Linked DNA regions of Drosophila melanogaster. The protein of the gene in region 3 interacts with the protein of the main gene of each other region in a biochemical or structural test. Each region holds a gene or a part of one and is shown on either strand. Other genes may lie near its edges. The genes, in order: Bin1, Sin3A and bcd.

What was found.
Region 1: the proteins of bcd (region 3) and Bin1 form a complex in vitro, tested with the Drosophila melanogaster proteins (one study listed by BioGRID).
Region 2: the proteins of bcd (region 3) and Sin3A form a complex in vitro, tested with the Drosophila melanogaster proteins (one study listed by BioGRID).

Annotation. Positions count from the first base shown.
Region 1 is NT_033777.3:16,185,385-16,191,896, forward strand, and holds Bin1 (bicoid interacting protein 1), read right to left. Parts: upstream 4,181-6,512; 5' UTR 3,819-4,180; exon of another isoform or gene 1,723-3,818; 5' UTR 1,394-1,722; coding exon 1,328-1,393; intron 1,255-1,327; coding exon 868-1,254; 3' UTR 772-867; downstream 1-771. Other genes in the region: CG8927 (uncharacterized protein), read left to right, coding at 1-442, 505-730. UniProt on the Drosophila melanogaster protein: Involved in the tethering of the SIN3 complex to core histone proteins. Interacts with bicoid (bcd) to repress transcription of bicoid target genes in the anterior tip of the embryo; a process known as retraction.
Region 2 is NT_033778.4:12,585,338-12,590,741, forward strand, and holds the start of Sin3A (Sin3A), read right to left. Parts: upstream 3,816-5,404; 5' UTR 3,379-3,815; intron 736-3,378; 5' UTR 375-735; coding exon 1-374.
Region 3 is NT_033777.3:6,754,934-6,761,735, forward strand, and holds bcd (bicoid), read right to left. Parts: upstream 4,534-6,802; 5' UTR 4,339-4,533; coding exon 4,174-4,338; intron 3,637-4,173; exon of another isoform or gene 3,615-3,636; coding exon 3,539-3,614; intron 3,499-3,538; coding exon 2,540-3,498; intron 2,028-2,539; coding exon 1,743-2,027; 3' UTR 909-1,742; downstream 1-908. UniProt on the Drosophila melanogaster protein: Segment polarity transcription factor that provides positional cues for the development of head and thoracic segments.

The DNA.
Region 1 (6,512 bases), 9.4 Mb from region 3:
AACGGCCATCTATTCCGACGCCCCTGAACCGTCCCGCCGCCTTCAATGATTTTGGCATTGGTCGGTTTGAGAACTCGCAGAGATTCGGATTGGAGCGACCTACGCCCACTGCAGCAGCGCCACCACCACCGCAACAACAGCCCCAGCGGGTGGCTGTGATCCGAACAAGACCAGCGTCTTCCGCTGCCCTACGACCTGAATCACCACCACCACAGCCTATGGCCAGGCCACGCCCTAAGCCTGTCCAGCCGCGTCCCATCATTGATCAAAATCAGCTACAGGACGATCACGTTGACCAGCAGCAGCAGCGTCGCCGTCAGCCCGTTTCCCAGACCATTCGCAAGTGGCGTGAGGAAAACGAGGACGGAAGCATCACATGGGGCTATGAGAACGACGACGGATCTTTCAAGGAGGAGCTGATCGGCACCGATTGCATCACCAAGTGAGTAAAACAGATTGAATCCAACCTCTTTCTCCCACTTACCCAAACTTCTCGTTCACCAGGGGAACCTATGGCTACGTTGATCCAGATGGCAACAAACGTGAGTACCACTATGAGACTGGAATCAAGTGCGATCCTAACAACCGCAACAACGAGGAAGAGCTACAAGAGAACGGGTTCGTCAACTACGAAGAGAATCGCGCCGTGCTGCCCAATGGTCTGGAGATCGACATGACGCAGTTGGGCAAGAAGAAGTCGAAGCGCCCGAACGGCTTTTACAGGAACTGATACTCCCCACAACATATAGTCCCTTAAGTCAAGCAGCTCGTAGTTCGTCTTACTTGTATTCCACTTATAATTATGTTCATACTCCATTGAGTGTCAAGTGAAAGATTAAAATGATTAGAATAGATGAAAGTGAAGAATCAGTACGGACGCTGGCGCCTGGCGGTTGGCGGCAGTCGGTTGGGCGGAGTAATCGAGATGTCCAGAAAGTCTCCAATGCTGAATTTGGCCTGAGCAAGTGTCTTATTATCATCGATTCCTTTTTGACCCGTGCAGGTCACTCCGATTTCGCGCATCTGGAAGTGATTACTCCGGAAGTTGGGGTACACGACAGCAAAGTCAAAGTAGGTGCCCTTCTTCCGGGTGTCCGGATTGACGTCTCGCACCAGAGAGGTCAGTTCGTGCAGGGTGGCGTCTTGCCAGGTGTAAATCTGAAGCTCGTTGGTGGGCACGTTGCCGAACATATACTCCGACACGGAGTGGTGTCGTCCCGTAGAGCAGAAGACACGGAGCAGCATAGGACAGGTCTGGAAAATACATAAACTTATTAACACATCTAGAGCAAACGCGAAGTAAACATGACCGGGGTCACAAACAAACCTTCTCGCGGTCAATCTGCTTGACCTGCGTCTTTTCCTCCACAATCATAGATTCCACGTTGGCCATGTCTCCCTATTCTGCGGTATATCGTTACTAATTTTCTTAATTTTAATACAAAATGCACTTTTAATGCCGTATATTCCGGCTTCTCTTTGCTCTTTTCGATAACTATATAATCGAATGCAGCAATCCTATCGCACATCGCCGAGTGTGACCGCTTGTCGCATACTTATCGGGTTTTAGTTTAATCGATGTTTCCAGAAGCACCAAAATTCGCCGTTTCTCAGCTCTAGTCCGAAAACAAAATTCGCTGTGAGCGGTTGTGTCGTCGAACGTGAAACTACGCGTCTCCGCGAATGACGCAGACTGGAAGCTTCCACTGGCATGACAATCGTCTAAAAACATTCAACAATAGCGGTGCACTTGCAAATTACTGTTGCCGCAACAACAATAACAACTGCTTCGCTAAGCAGTAGCTGCGACCACAACAACAAGGAGGAGAGCAACAACAACGGTGGAGAAGAGCCGTTTGTTATTGGCGCATAAAAGCAGAATCGCAATTTGGCCACTGAATAGTTTCTAAAAACGGTGAGTACATTGTGGCAGCGGTCCATTTGCATACCGAATTGAGATTTGCACTTTTTGCAAGAGTTTCTTATGTAACGGCAACAGCAGCAGCAGCAGCAGCTGAGTTTTACGTGCAAATTGTTGCCGTTGCTTTGCTTGTGTTGGTGCCGCAGCGTCTGCGAAAAGTCACCCTCTTTGCAACCACCCTTCACCCCCCCTCATATTTCATTTATGCATCGCTCTCTCGCTCGATTTGTTTATAAACATTCAGGAATAAGCCGCTGCTAAATACTGAACTGTTTTTATCTCAAGAAGTACAAGGTTATCCCATCCCCAGCCACCCACTTTCGATCTCCTCATTTTTATGCATGCGCCATCATTTGCCGATAATAGTGCCATTCTGTTTGTTGTTCTAAATGTTCTAGTTATTGCAGTAGCGTGGAAGGTGTGGTCATATGGTGGTTTCTATTGTGTCAACAAGGAATCAGTTTCCCAAAAGCTGCATATTTGTTTTTATTTTTAGTCAAATACCAAGAAATAAGTCAATCCAGACATTTGATATTTTTAGAAACGGAATAAACCCCGTTTAAGTGCACAGAAACAGAATCTGTGATTACCCTGGTAAAAGAAAAACACTAGAAGGGGAAAATACCCCACTTGAATTAACCCCCTGCTAAAGGGTATTTTCGCTTCGGCGTGTCTGAATATTTTTAGTTGGCTCGTGTTTTAAAGTCCTCGAATCCACTCCCACCTCGTTGATCCTGCAGCAGCTGTTTTTGCCACAGTTCCTGCTGCTCTTGCGTGGGAGCAGAATGTTTGTTGTTCCTGCTGTTGTTATTGAATCCCCCCTCCCCCCCCTTCGTCCTTGGCCATTGTTCTGTGGACTCGTTTTGGCCGGAGCGGAGGGGTTGCAGCCGTGACCGTGACTGACTGCCCGTAACCCCAGCAACGACCACATAGTGGACGATGTTATTGTTATCGCATACTTTGGTAACCAGTGCACTGTGGTCGGGATGACCAATATGAAGTAAGACGCATTAAAGCTGTTTCTTTAGTCACTTTAAAAAATGAAAAATTTATAAAGATAATACTCAGCAATACTTCTGCGACAAATTCACATTCGTAAATTATTCAAATTTGACAAAACAACGGAATGTTTAAAAACTTTATAGTCTTTTTAAGTTAGAATAAGTCTTAAGTTCTAGAAAGACCCCACGAAGTTGAAGAAAATGTACTTTAAGTGAAGTAAGTCTTCAGTGGCTTCAGTGGAATCGTATGTACTCGAATCGGAAGGTGGGTAAAGATGTGAACAATAAAGTAATATGTTTTTCGAAATTAAATTCCGCCCACTGTCCGTGTTCGTTGCTGCGGCTGCTGGCTGAATTTTAAACGTGCCAAGTCCTTGGTTGTAAACTGAAGACGTGCGGTGTGGGGCGATTTGTTGCCACTGTTGCGGTCGCTTTGTTGCTGCCGCCTTACTTCGTTTTCGTTATTTTTTCTCAAATATTAATTGCTTTGAGCAACAGTAGAAGCCCTTGGCTACTGCTCCAAACCCAATCACTTCGAATTTCCGAAAATTCCCCAAGCAGCAGCACAACGAGTTTGGAAAAGTGGCAAGGCGAAGCAGACGTAACCGAAAGCAATAAATTCACAAATGCAAATAAAATGCGAGCTTTGCTTCAACTCCTGTTCTGTATACATATGTATTTGATTCTATTTTTTACCCGGCCAGTTGACAGGGGCGTGTGCGTGGGCGTTTCTACTGCCAGCCGCACAACACAATGTCCTGGGTGTAAGTCTCGACCTTGGCTTTGCATAGCGACCTTTCGCCAATGCCACAATATATCCCCATTCCTACCCATATCCCTATTCCCCGAATGCCCAGTGGTGCCCACTTGTTTGTAGCGAGGACAGATTTACTTGCCATTTCCAATCCGGGGAATCCATTTCGCAGCCAGCTGTTCAGACTTTCAGATAAAGTGCACGCTTAAGAGAATCATGACAAATTAATGCTTGTGAATGAAGTGGCAAATCATCGTTTCATGGCCAAAAAGGTCGTATTCGAAGAAGATCTAGAATTAGATATTGGAAAGAACCTGCAGCAGATGGCTCATATTAGAAATATCTAAGAAATGTGGCTGGTTATTAACGTATAATTCCATTAGGGTCTTGAGCACTATTGTATATGTCGGCGAAACAGGAGTCTCATCCATATTATTTATTCACTTCGCGATTTTGTACGTCAGCGCAGCAAGTTCCGATCGACGTCAGCAGTCAAACTTCACTGAAGGGATCTTCTTACATGTCCCTTCTTCATCATATTCTCTAATGGCTATACACACTGGCGTGTGCCACATTGTCATCTCTCTCTAACACACTATTTATGACCACTCGATCGGACCTCACTCAGCTGCAGAGGCTGTTCGTGCCTCTGCCGCAGCGCTCGACAGAATTTTACCGCAATATTACAATTTCATCAGAATATGAAATCACAGAAGGAATTTCTGGAATGCGAAGAGTCGCGCTCCGACATATACAATCATGCTGATAATAACATTGATTTTATTGCACATTTAATTGCCTTACATTGTATTACACTTTCTAGCAGTATTCAAGATTATCTCCTATTATTTATAGCAATTTGTTAGTTGTTACTCATGCATAATGGCGACTTAATATTATATTTTAAAATTGTTTTTTTCTTATGTTAATCTGGATTACCACCCCACTTCGTGATTAATTCTGAGCGGAGAACAAAAACACTCTGATAAATTAAGTTGTAAACAACTACTTTCGAAAAGCAATTAAAAAATTTATTTACAGTATTTCACGATAAGGCGAATAACAAAACCATTAACTTGTTAATGTGCCGGTACAAACTATTTCCTCTAAAATGTTATCAGTTATCTGATTACGGGTTGATGTGATTGATTCCAAATATAAGTTGTTAAAGATTGAGTTATTTTAAGAATACCCGCTGATAACATTTCCTTTTGTGAAATTTATTGAACGGTCGTTCAATAAAGAATTGCCGAGAGCATTCTGATTACCATTCTGCTGCAAAAAACACTCGAAAACAACCCGTCTTTAAGAGACTGCAAAAGGCCAAGGAAAGATCACTCGTCTGTGCCTTTGATTGCGAACGACCACTGAATCGATGGGAGAAAGATATGGGAGTGCGTATATGTGGCCAGAAAATTATGTATACGCAGCGTTTCCTCATTGAGAGGCGCTGCTGACGCAAAATAAATGAAACGATTTTAAAATAAAAGCAACTCATAATTTTTGCCCCTACGATTGGTGCCTGTGTTGTCGCGTCTGTTGTCCATTTTATGCTATTTCTGTTTGCGTTCGCTTTTGTTTTGTTTTCCATCTTCTTGCCTTTTTGCCAGGGTTTTGCCAATTGATGAATTGAATACGTACAGACCGCTGCCGTCGGCTCTTTCGTCAATTGGCTTGACTGGATCTAGCTGCAGTTTGCACTGACGTCACGTCCCAAAAGCAAAAGTGCCCCTAACTCACTTAACACATCGGCCTGATTGGCAGCGACGTCGATTCCATTCGACTGTATATGCGCGCATACGTATGTTCTGCTTGACTTGAGGTATACTTGAGTTGTAAATGTCTCAATTAACCATAGTAACAATAGCCAAATGTTATCTATGGAGTCTAAATACGTCCATTTGGTGCGTCAGTGGGGACTGTCGTCGCGATAAGAAGCGAATCGAGGGAACTACCGTGGCCATGATTTACGATAACCAGCGGGTTTCAACCGGTTGAACTCAACATTGAACTGCTGATAACACTTGCTTAAAAGCGATTTATTGGAATATTTGCTGAACAGGATTTTAATTCCTTCCTTGCTTGGAAGCAAGAACCACTGTAAACTTTTGGTAATCTCTTCATCCTACCCAAATCACCGAATTTCGGCAGCACATGTCGGCGATGGCGGCTCCTAATAGAAATCGCTTTTGCATAGCCAAGTTGGCCCAAACTATTTTCATGTCAAAGCGCTGACAAGACGGGCGCACACAGAAACCTACAGATACACAGATACATTTGCACTTGGAGCCGCACAGTTGCGAGTGACAGTCGACAACAAAGGGGCTGGTCGAATCAGTTTGAGTCTGAGGCAAGTGAAAACTCCTCGGAATCGCCCAAGGACTTTGAGTGATAACAATCCAATTTGTAAAAGTAGTGGGCGGGGATGGATGAGCTGTTATGGTATGTGTATGGGGGCCGCATTAGAATTTACAATTTCGTCGAAGGTCAATCGAAATGCCAGGAATTTTCTGACCCCAAAAAGAGAAACCATTTTTCATACATTCACTTGGTACAAATGTGTTAACAATCCAATTGCGGTGCGATTCATCGGTGTGTAAATGATTTAATTAACAGTTCATGCCTGGAAGTGTCGGGTAATTACGAAAACCTGATATTGTCATGCAAGCCAAAGGTAAATTCAGCAAATTCCGTGATTTTCCCTCGGATGCTGTGCGCAGCCTACAAAGGTATCGGCATTAACAAAGCTATATAGTTGTTATCTTGTGACCGGTTGACGGGTGGTGAACAACTATCCACTGGATAAAGGGATTACGTTTAATGTTTCCACAAAGCA
Region 2 (5,404 bases), on a different chromosome or scaffold from region 3:
ACGGCCACCTGTGCTCCTGCTCCTACTGGTCCTCCAGCGGTAGTGCTATCCACAATCGAGGTTGTGGTCTTCAAATTCGTAGCCGTCGGCGTGGTGGACGGCAAATAGGCAATGGTTTGTGCTCCTCCATGCTGTGGAGTAAGGATGCGATGGTGAATGGAACCGATCCCGCTGATGGTGGCGTTATGAGCACTGGGCACGACGGTACCAATGGTAACGCCCGTCGTATTGACGCCCACAGTAGCAGTGCCACCGCCGCCGGATGTTGGCCCACCTCCAGTTACGCCGACGACACCAACGCCCACACCTCCGGAGGTCTGAGGAACGGGTCGTGTGCCAAATTGCACCTCGTCTACGCGAGTGCGTTTCATCATCTTTTTTGTTGCTCTGTCCTCGGCGGAGCGTATAATCCTGTGCTGCTGCTTCTTCTTTCTAAGCACTTTGTTGCTCCCTGGATCCCTGCCCAAGTGCAAGGACTCTGGCTGCTCTAGGTGAGTGGCCGCCCTCTATGAGCGTATGTAATATGCAACAAACGGTCGGGGTCGCAACTCTTGATCTTGGACTGCTCGTGAATGCGACATATGTTGTCTATGCATTTGGTCGCCCCGCAAGCGGCAAATGCGCTCGAGTTCTAAGGTAGAGAAATTGGACTGACGGCTGGTTATCTGCTGCTGGTGTTGCTGCGCCGGTGATTCGCCTCTGCCACGTAGCGTTTGGAGTTCTTTCTGAATATCACTGCAAGCAAAGCAAGAGAAGGGAAACGGTCATACAATAATGTCGACATTAAATGTATAAAAACCCCCAAGAATTAGGTTTGGGTCTATTTTTAATGAAGTTAGTCATCATTAAATTCTGCATTACTGGAACAATCTTACACATTAATACTAGAATTTATTCACTGACACTGAAATGAAAGGACAAATATGCCAAATATACTTTTCCATATATTAAAGACCACGAGTCTTGCTAATTTTCCCAAAACATGTTAGCTAGTATAGCACAGCTGATTGATCAATTCGGTCTATATCTTCACAGATATCGGAACGATTGCATATTTCAACAAGAAAAAAGGTGAACTAAAAAGCCACGGGGGAATTCTTCTTTTAGCCGTATCACAAAAACTACAGAGTGGAGAACGGTGTCTCTGTATTGGGTGTTCTGGATTCGGGGGAGAAGAGTGAGATGAGGGACAATAGGAATGGAATGAAGCAGTGGAGCTGTGACCAATAACAACAACAGCAACCAGAGATTGATACATATAGACGGGAAGGAGATCGTGGAGTGGAAGTTGAGTCTTGGAGGAGAGTGAGTGCAAGGCATAAGGAGGAGCGCGTAATTCACTTTAGTGTGTGTACGTTCAACCGGAATTGGGCGCGCGCTTTGTTATTGCTTTCAGCGGTACAGTAAAAACTTCCTAAGCGAGCTTTCTGTGTACACCTCCGAGTGTGTGTGTATGTGTGTACATATCAGTATTTGTGAATGTGGAAGGTGCCAAATGCCCCATGCACGACATCGGCTTGCATAGAATTCAGACGCACACATAGAAAATATTTATATATCGATACCGCCAAGGGGGCGGGCGGGTGGTGTGTGAGAGCTGCTGGTACATGTTCTGTATCTACAACTTACAAGAATAAGAAGAAGAAGAGTCAGAGGTAACAGCAGCAGCAAACGCAACAATGCAAAGGTGGTGGTGGCGATACGGTGGTGGTGGTGCAGCCACAGAGAGAACCAGAGAGAGCCGCATTTGTTGTTGAGGCGCAGTATATGGATGATTTTTTTTTTTTCAAAAAGGTATTTCACCCGTTTGGGGCCAAACTCACACACGGACACAGCAAGCATTTGGCGGGCATTCGAGAGAGAGAGCGGCAAAAATGAAGAGAGCGCAACGCTGCGCAAACCAAAGACCGCGAGCAAATATTAGGTGAATGGAAACCGCCTAGAGGATCATCCTGCTCCAACTAATTGAAACACCCCATCGAACCAACAGCTGCCCCCTTTTAGCATTTGTAAACAAATATTGGAGCACAGTACAGCCGCACAAAAGCTTTAGCCCTCGTTCTCTCTCCTGTCTCTGCCACCACCAACTATCCTTTAATAAATGAAGGTAAAACAAGTTCGCTCTTTTGAGCTCTCCCAACTGTCTTTGTTGTTATTGTATTTTTGGATCCGCCATTAGTGCATACCAAACACATTTACTCGCTTGCTGGTGTGTGTGAGTGTTTGACGAGAGAGGCTCCAAATTGGGGCGTTGTGTGCGTGTGTGTGCTTTGGGGAGACATGTGGGCAAATTTTCCCTCCATTTTTTCTTTTTTTTTTTTTTTGATTCAGCCCGCTCTATTACGTGCACACGTATAATGTTATCTTATCTGTTTTGTTATGTGTATACACAGCACAGCAGAATACGCAACACAAAAGGCAGCCAGCGGAAAATATGTTAAATTTTTTGCAAATATCACTAGCACTCGGTTTTGAACAACTGCAATACGAATCGGAATCAACGCGAATTAATATTTAGTTTTTTACTGTTACTTTCTCACTCTGGCGCACTAACACAGCCGCGGAGTGGCGCTGCGCTATTAATAAATTTTGCAAATAAAACATATGGATGTGTAGAGAAATATGTACAATATATTCACATACATATATACTATTTCAGCATGAAGAAGCAACGGCAAACGTTTTGTGTAAATTCAAAACCGAATGAAAAAAAACAGGCGGAGCAAGAACAACAAACGACGGATGGGCTGGGGAGCATGAAGAAGAGGAGCAAAAGGAAGATCTGAACAAAAAGAGGGCCACAAAATGATGCTCTCATTGGGGAGCCATTTAAATGCACACTCACACTAGGCTGCTCTCGCCAGTACATGCGAATGGCGCATCAAAGCAAAAGTCAAGATAAGCGCACGAACTGAGCAAAGAACGAATCAACAACGAAAATAAAACGACACTACGTTGAAAAAATACAGTCAGTTCATAAGCGAACCAAAAGCAATGGTTCAAAGCGTATGTATGAGTGTGGCTCTCCTCTCCACAACTGTGTTCAACTGTGTGTGAGGAGAGCAGAAACTGTAGAGGCAGCAGCAGCAGCAACACAAACAACAACCACGTCCCCGTCGACGACTTTTTGTCTGTGCGCCTTCTATATGTATTCGCTATGCCATTGTTGTTTGTGTGTGTGTGAGTTTGTGCGTGCGTGTGTATATAAACCAATTGAAATTGACCTAACCTAAAAATGTTGTATTTTCACAAGTTTTCAGTGGCACGAACGAAAATATTGTTTGAACTCGAATCCGCACTCCAAGTGCACTTGAAGGATAATGCTACTCTGCAATTTTCACGCCCCCCACAACCGCCCACCGCCCATATTACACTTACATCAGCAATAAGCAGTTAGCTTCGTCGGTTGATATTCGGCTGTGTGTATGTATATTCGAAATGTATGTATATATGTACGGGGCGCGTATGTATATTTACTACAAAACTGCCGTTGGTTTTGTGGTGTTATTGGAAACTTTCACGTTTTACGCAGTATTTTGCACATGCAACTACTATATTCGCACTCACTGGCACACCGAAATCTTTATTTTCACCGTTTTCTTTTCTTTCAGTAGCTGGGGCTTCGTTCTCCAGTTCAGTTTAAGTTTAACGCTTATTTCAATCAATTTGCACTTGGCTCTAAGACCTTAACTAGATCACACGGCTCGAATTTAAGACATTTTCTTCTCGATAGATTGCTACTGCTATTCTATTCACAAATTTTTGGCGAGAGAACGTTTTCGTACATCTCAACGCCGCCGCAAACATTTTCGATTAAAACAGCGAAACGCGACGGCCAGTCATTTGGAGTCAGCAGAGAGAGCGAAATGAGTGTAAAACGGAGAGCGTGAGAGCGCGCGCGCAGTGTTGCTTTGGAATTCATTTTATTCTGCTGCCGCAGCTAAAACAGGGTGGCAACTCAACGGCGCAACAACTAAAATCCTCCGTCGAGCGCGTTGAAAACACATCAGTAGCTGACGGCAAAAATAGTTTATATACCATTCATTACCTATTAGCAAATAATCACAATCAGTGGTTATTTTTATTAGCGGTGAGCGGTACCGCATGCAAATAGTCGCAAAATGGCGCTTAGAATTTGGATAAGAAACGAAATACGTGAGGCTTACGTAAGTGCGAGGACCAACAACAACGCTGGGAAGAGAGAAAACAAGTTGTTTAGAAAACAGGGTGTACCATTGTCACCCAGCCATGTGGTGGAAACGATGATCAGAACATCTGGGTAAGACACCCTGTTTGAGCCAAAGAGAGAGAGCGGGTGTGAGAGCAGCGCACCCACACAAGCGCAACGAGTATACAGCAGATAGCGACGTCGGCAGAGCGTTTTAGCCGACCATTGCAGTACATATGTGAAATCGACGAAACCGAAAATCAGAAACCAAACGGACCACTAGCGAGCTACAACTCTGCCACGGCTACACTTTACACACTCATGTACTCCTCCACCACCTCACTCGCCAGCGCACTCACACACAGACGCGTGCGTGCGGAGAGAGGAAGTAAAAATATGAAGACAAAAAAAAGCAAGTGCATCTCACCATGACAATGGCGGAACCATAAAAACACATGTTCCCATCTCGAATCGAACTGAATTCGGCGGCCAGCTCCTTCACAAAATAAAATAATACAGACAAAAAATCTGTATACGCGCAAAAGTTGAGCTGCTAAAACATGGAAACCTTGCAGTTATCGATTCGTCTCGCTCATTGCGCAATGAAAAAAATGCAGCGGGGGCGGAGGATACGAGAGAGCCTCTCTCTTTGTGAGACACCTGCAGCGATAGGAAATGCAAATCCGCCTTCCACTTTCCAGCTCGAAAGTTCAAAGTTCACATGCAACTAACTAGCTACTGGGTGCAGCGCATGTCCGAGGTGCACCAAAGTCCCTGGACCAAACAAAAAAATGGCACAAACCAAACTCTCCGACTTCCAGGCGCCGCAGGAAGGTTTGTTTGCCCTCCCATTGGGTATTATTGATGCTTTTTTCTATTGATAATAAAGCCAGGTGGTCTAGCATGTTCTAATTATTCCTGTGCTAATTTCAGATCTGTCATGGAATGCGGCACTAGGAAATATTAACTGACGCTGATCAAGTGATATCTGAAATGTGGTAAAGAGGTTCCTGTCACACGGACCCATTTCTATAAAAAAAACTAATTAGTTTGATATTCGTACGTGTTCTGCAAATTATCAGATGTTTTTAACTCTCTTGAGTCACATGATATTTAATGTGATAAAAACTTTTTGTTATTTATTGTTTGTTTGTCCTAAAAAATTGACAACACAGTAAATGGAAAACTTTACTATAAAATATTTAACTTTAGTATTAATTCTCATCAAAACTATAA
Region 3 (6,802 bases):
AGAGTGAGGTACAGTTGAAAATATCTTTACTTAGGTTATATATGAAAATTAACATTTTCGAAATAATATTTTTAGAATTGTCGAAAAGATTCATTTAAAAACATAATTAAAACATGATCTTTTGAAAAGAAGTGCTAAAACTCTTAATTAACTTGTTTAAGTCTTAAGTTAATATCGCAACCATGTTAATGGGTCACTGTGCACAATTGTGAAAAGTATTTACAATAAAAACCTGAACCAAATTAAAAAGCTTTACAATATCAATAAAAAACTAATTTATGAATACTTTGCGATATCTCGCGATATTTGAAAGATGCATAGATGCTATAAATTATCTTCATAAATGGCGGATTAAAAAGTAGTTTATTAATTATAGTAGTTAAACTAGGTGTGATGAAGGGCACAGGAAAACAAGTCTTGTGATAAGTAAGAATGGATTCAGAGCTTGGTTTTCCCAGGACATCCATAATCCACCTACTAAAACGCGCCCAAGATCAATAAAAACTCTATAACTGGGAGAAACCCAATCAATATTCGTTCATATAGGCCCCGTTATTGGACTTCTGGATTTCCCAAAACTTATATCAAAGAAAATAGGGGCAACAAGTTGCCTGGCGGCGCCCCGCGAGTGCTGCCTGTACAGTGTCTACCTAAATAGTGCGACCGCGCGAGGATCAGGCGATAAGAGTATGGGTTTCAGGTAGGTGAATAAACACAGGCAGCTGGTGCAAATGTTTTATGATCCGCGGGTGTTCGCGGAAAAATCGCGAATCATATTTTATGGCAGGCATGTGTGAGTATGTGCAATAAAGTGCATTTTTAAATTCATAAGATTTTCGGGAAAACCAGATACTGTTTTCGTTCATTCTAGAAAGGGACGGAAATATGGGCTAAGTATGTAGTTATGTGTAGTTAGTCACAATTTACCCGAGTAGAGTAGTTCTTATATATTTTCGTAATTAAAAATACAAAGCTTAAAGAGACAACATCAAAGGTGCAGCATTTTAAAATTAAACTTGAGGCCTAACAGATTGCAATGCTCTTCTTAGTGATGTAAATAGAATGTGAGCTATGATAGTTATTCCGTTTGGCAGCAAAAAATCTCCGAATCTGAAACAAATGGTCTGCATTGATTGAAAATACAATTTGCTGACTATTCTTGGTCAAAGAATGCGCAAATGTTTGATTATGTCAGACACTTTGGCATAGCATAGAAATTGAAAATATCATATCAAATATTATTGTTTAAATGTTCGATCTTTAAGGGTAATCATTGTATGAGATTACGCCCAAGAGAAACATTTTTCATTTTGATTAGTACAGTTTTTAGCTATGTCAAATTGTAACAGAGAAGATTTTCTTGCTGGCTCGGAATATAATTTCCGAAATGTGGGACGATAACTTTCCATGGAATACGCTTAAGCCCAAATGGCCTCAAATGTAACTGGTTGCATATTCCCGGGCTTTAGTGGAGCAGCCACCCAGATACATCTAAGGCGAATAGCGTATTGCAGGGAAAGTATAGAGTTAACTGGAGTATCACTAAGATATGCACTGGAATCCGTGCGGCCTGCTGACTAGGCTAGTACATAAAACTTCCCTGGGAACCATTTACACGGATCTTAGGACTAGACCTAACTTTCTACGCGTAGATATCTACAATCACTTGGTATTTGTACAATCAGGAACAACAGTGGTTAACCTAAAGCTAATGAAACTCTCTAACACGCCTCTCATCCAGGCTAATTGAAGCAGTAGGCAAACTGCGAGTTGCCCGCGGCGTTCCGATGGGGATTATACGCTTGCATTATCGTATCCATCGTGCATTGATATTGGTTCGATTCGCCCATGGCCACGCCCCCCATTCCGAGGGGCGGCTGAGGGCCTTGTGGGGGCGAAGGCTTGCCAAATTTGGCAAATGCCGCTCCACGATTTCCGGTTCCTGCTAAGGCTCTTATTCCGGTGCTCATGTCGTCGCTACTGCCATCGTCGCAGCTCTTGTCCAGACCCTTCAAAGGCTCCAAGATCTAGGGAGAGAGCGAACGCATTTAGAACATAAATAAATTCGATTGAAATTGCTAAATTATTGTTACAATTTATAGCTAAAAATGTTCATCAGCATATGAGTCTGTTTTCACTTTTAAAATGCATAGATCTTATTTTTCTGGTCAAAGAAATGCTATTTTAACTTGCAGTGTATTAAGAGTGATTACATGAATAAAAAAGTAAAAAACCCTGAAAACTAAGGGCTTTCAAACGGTTGAAATCTTAACCTTTGATACAAATTCTATATTAAAATACATCTTTAACACTTGTACTTCCCTTTCAGAAATGCCATGTCTAATTTAGAAAACAAAAACTTAATAAGTTAAATGTTAAATATTGGAGAACTCCCAAATCTCATCGATCGGAAATAGAAGTACTTTCAGAATAACATCTCAAACCAGACAGTTTGAAAGTTACAAAGCTTAAAGCTTCAATTTATAAACGCCACACTCAGAATCAAGAGATCAAAAAAGGTTGTGGACTCATGCCTGACCTGTAGCGTCGTCTTCTTGCTCGTTCCGTCGTCCATGTCGTCGGCCGCCTCCGTCTCGCCAACGGCGATGGCGCAAGGTCCGCCGATGCCGATGCCACACAGACTCGGACTTTCGTCATTCTTGGGTGTTAATGGCTCGTAGACCTCGGAGCCCGGCGAGGCAGCGCCTCGGGCCACAGCGGATGCCGATGCAGTGGCGCCAGACATTCCCGATCGCATGTAGTACGAGCTGTTGAAGTTGTAGTCGGCCTCCGGTTCGTCCTTGACCAGGACGCGACAGGCGCTGGCTTGCTTTTGCTGGAAGTCAAAGTGATGGTATTGCTGCTGCTGAGCCTGCTGTTGCTGCTGCTGCATCTGGTGCGGCACGTGGTTGCCCTGGTGGTGCAGTTGCTGCTGGTGATTATGGACCTGCTGCTGCTGGAAGAACTGGCCGCCATTGACATTGGTCGACCCAGGTCCTGGCCCCCCTCCGGAAGGATACTGCATGTGCATGTGACGATTGGCCTGGGCGTGATTGTGGCCTCCATTGTAGTTGTAGTAGGCGTTGAATGACTCGCTGTAGTGCTCCGTCATGTGTGCAGTGGGCGTTGAGGGCGTGGGTGACGGAGTCAAAGCGTTGGGCGTGGCTCCTCCACCCAAGCTAAGAGTCTGCAAGCTGGGGGGATCGCCATCGCTCTGTTTCATACCCGGCGAGAGAGGCATCCCCTCGTAGGACTGGTCCTTGTGCTGATCCGATTGGATCTTGTGACGACGCCGACGGTTCTTAAACCATATCTTCACCTGGGCTGTGCCCAGGGCTAGTTTCGCTGACAGATCCGCAAGTCGGGGGGCTGTGAGGTATCGTCCCTGCAGAAAGTGCTGCTCCAGCTCTGCTATTTGAGAGCTGGTAAAAGTGGTGCGGGTGCGACGTGGTCGCCGCATCACCAGAGAGTCGGGCAGCTCCTCTGAGGGAAAGACATCTGATAAGACGATGGCTGACTTTGTTGGCTTTGAGCTCACCTGGCTTGGGCATCTGGTTGGGCAGATACGGACGTATGTAGTTGTAGTTTATCGCTCCCGTTCGCTCATCGAAAAGCTTCAAAGAATCAAGGGGTACACTGTCTTTATATAAAAACGTGAAAGGACGATTCGCTTCGGGGACCGAATCTTGCAATATTACTTTCACTAATCATCATGCAGGACAACAATGCTTGTTTTAGAAAATATGTTGTATGAAGTGTATAAAGTCAATAATGTATACCCAGTGGCCATAGATGTGGCTTTTGAAAAATAGACATTACTGATTGTCGGTGTGAGTGCAACAGGTTTAACATTCGTCCATTTCAATGAAACACCTTTTAGAACATTTCGGCAAATCACTAATAACATGATGCCCCACAATTCATATACAATTATATACTATACTAACTGTAACGATTAATAATATCAATTGGTTTTTAGATTCTGCTACGATACTTTAAAAGTCACAAACAAGATAATAGAAGATTTCGCCCTATGTTCTAGAAACACATTTGCTGCGGCTCAATAAATGTTTATGGTCATCAGTGATCGCACTGGTTGTTTGTTCACCATAGGGAATCTGTACTGTAGCTTTCCTGGGACAAGAGCCCTTCTCTGCTGCGATGGGAACTCACCAAATCGAAGGGATTTCGGAATTGTGGCGGCAACTGAAGCTGCGGATGTTGGTGATGTGGGTGCGGATGCGAGTGCGGATGCGGATGGGAGTGCGGATGCGGATGTGTGTGCGTGTGGGGCAGCGGATGATGGTAAAAGTTTTGATCTGGCGGCGGTTGCGCCATTTTCCCCAAACACTCCGCCGCGTTATCTTTACGAATTTCCAAGCGCCGCGCGGAAAAATGGCAAAGGAGTGTGGAAACTTTCTTGTATTTTCAGTAACCGGTTACTTTCGAGACGCTCGCGAACTTATTTCGCCCACATTTTGCGTTTTTGCGATCCACTGCTTCGCATCTGCAGAGTGCCGTTATTTAGGGATGAGCGAAGAGATGTAGAGATGGCACAATTGGCGGCCCTCCCTCGATGTTCATTCTTTTGAGTAATTTAAAAATCAATAAGCGTCTACAATACATTTTAGACAAATATTTGGACATTTTATTTTTAAATGTTTGCCTCTAATTTAAAAGTTTTTAATCGAACAGTACGGCAAAGCTGCAAACCGATTGAGTGCACAGCGTTTTCACCAGGGGGCGTGAAGAGACAGCAGTAGAGAGCCCCCTGTCGGGCTGTATTGAAAGGTTGTGCTCACTGACAAAAGGTGAATGTTCTAAAACGTCGGAGGTTTATTTATTTGTAGAGATTTGCATTTGAGAATAATAATAAAAAAAAGCTTGAATATTGTAACAAATAAGTAGAACCAATTAAACTTAAACTCTTTGCTCTGTTTGGAACTTCATAATATTAACATTTAATTAACAAACAGGCACCCCAAATTTAGGAATCAATTAGACAAGTGTCGAATGTTTAATTTGAATTTTTGTTAATATTATAATATTAATATGCTCCAGTCCAGTCCAGCCTGAATTGAACAAAATGTGCACTTTGTAGTTTATTCTGTTACATACTTCCGCTATTAATAACTACATTATTCAATCTTAGTATCGCGAGATATATAAGGACTTGGGACAAAGAATAAGGATGGTGGAGATCGAGTTTGTTTTTCCAAATGATCTCAAACGGCTACGTACGAAAGAAAATATCATATAATCGTTTTGTAAGACAGCATATAGTGCTTGCTATATGTACCTGTTAGGCAGTGCATTATAAAATGTATTAGAAGAATAAAAGGTAACCAGTTGTCGAGTTAATTAGCTGTAGCGTTCGATTCTTTTGTTAATTTTTTTTAAGTTGTTCTACTCATTTCTGATGTTAAGCTAGGATTGGCAATTATTATTTTCAGGCTCCATATTTGGAAAATTCGATATGTTTAGCGTTGAAGAATATTGTGTAAATATCTACAAGCATTAAGTTGCTCAGTGCATTGGCCCAAGCTTTAACATTTTAAAACACACCCAACGAGCCAGTTGACCTTTAAGCAAGTGTCGCAAGGCCTTAAGTGAAATATTTTTTAATGACATTTGCCAAATAATTGTCGTGTTTGCTTTTGGGATCTGGCAGGAGCTTGTTGCTGTTGGCCGGGCTTTGCTGCTTCTGCCGCTGCCAACTGGCAACAAAAGTCAATTCACAGACACTCCAGTCGACGGAGTCGGAGTGCAGCCAAAAGGCAAACAAAATACGTTCGCATAGGCAAAGCCCAAGGATACACACAAAGGTACAGTGGTTGCTCTGACTACAAATACAAATTAAACAGGGCCAGAGCTTTAATACCAATTCGATACCATTGCAACAACAGCATTTCAAATGCTACTTTTTTATATCAGATAAAGATAGGTAGAAAAGGCTATATTTACGTTAAAGGCAAGCTGATATTTTAGAAATTTATTCAAAAACAAAATTAATTACTTTGACACATAATATTGTATTTAGTCATCTGACTAGAAACTAGAAATCTCTGAATGTAACGAAGTTCTGTGCATTCTTACAAATATTACAAAAAGTATCTGCTAGATACCACTGTGCGGAACTGGGCCACAAATTCAGACGCAGTGTGTGACAAAGGACTTCTCCCTTCCCCGCTCGGCGACCCTGAATGCTGAATGCCCCCGTGTGTGCCGCTGCTGAAGCGAAACACCCAAAGAGTCACTGACAGAAACAGGATTCGGGTAATAAATTACAAAATTTGACATTTTCTGTTTTGGATCCGCTTGCGCCTGAATGCGAGCGGCAGCCCTCTCTGTCGCACGCCGTCTAGCCGTCTCTTTCGTTCGGTTTCGGTGTGTGTCCAGTTCGGTCGGGCCAAGTCGAGCGTTGCATGAAGCAGCCGGACCTGCCAGGACCTGGACCAGGACCTGAACCTGCATCCAAGAGGCATCGCCGCAATGGTCATAATGACGCTGCCGGGATGCAGCTGAGGACAAGGAGAGCCGTCAGTGGGCAGCGAGAAAGGGACGGAATAGAAGCGCCCTATGCGGTCCGTTGATAGTTAACTGGAAATTTATTATTTTACACAATTTACAATTATCTGATTCGAATGTGCACTCAGCGACGAGGATTCCGGCAGATGGGCAGTACGAGTGAGAGTGCGGGGGTCCAAGTTCGGACGACAGATGCAGTTGTCCTCCCATGGGAACGGCCTCATTTCAGCAGAAGTCACCGAAACGATTTAAGATGTGATTTAATTTTCCAGAA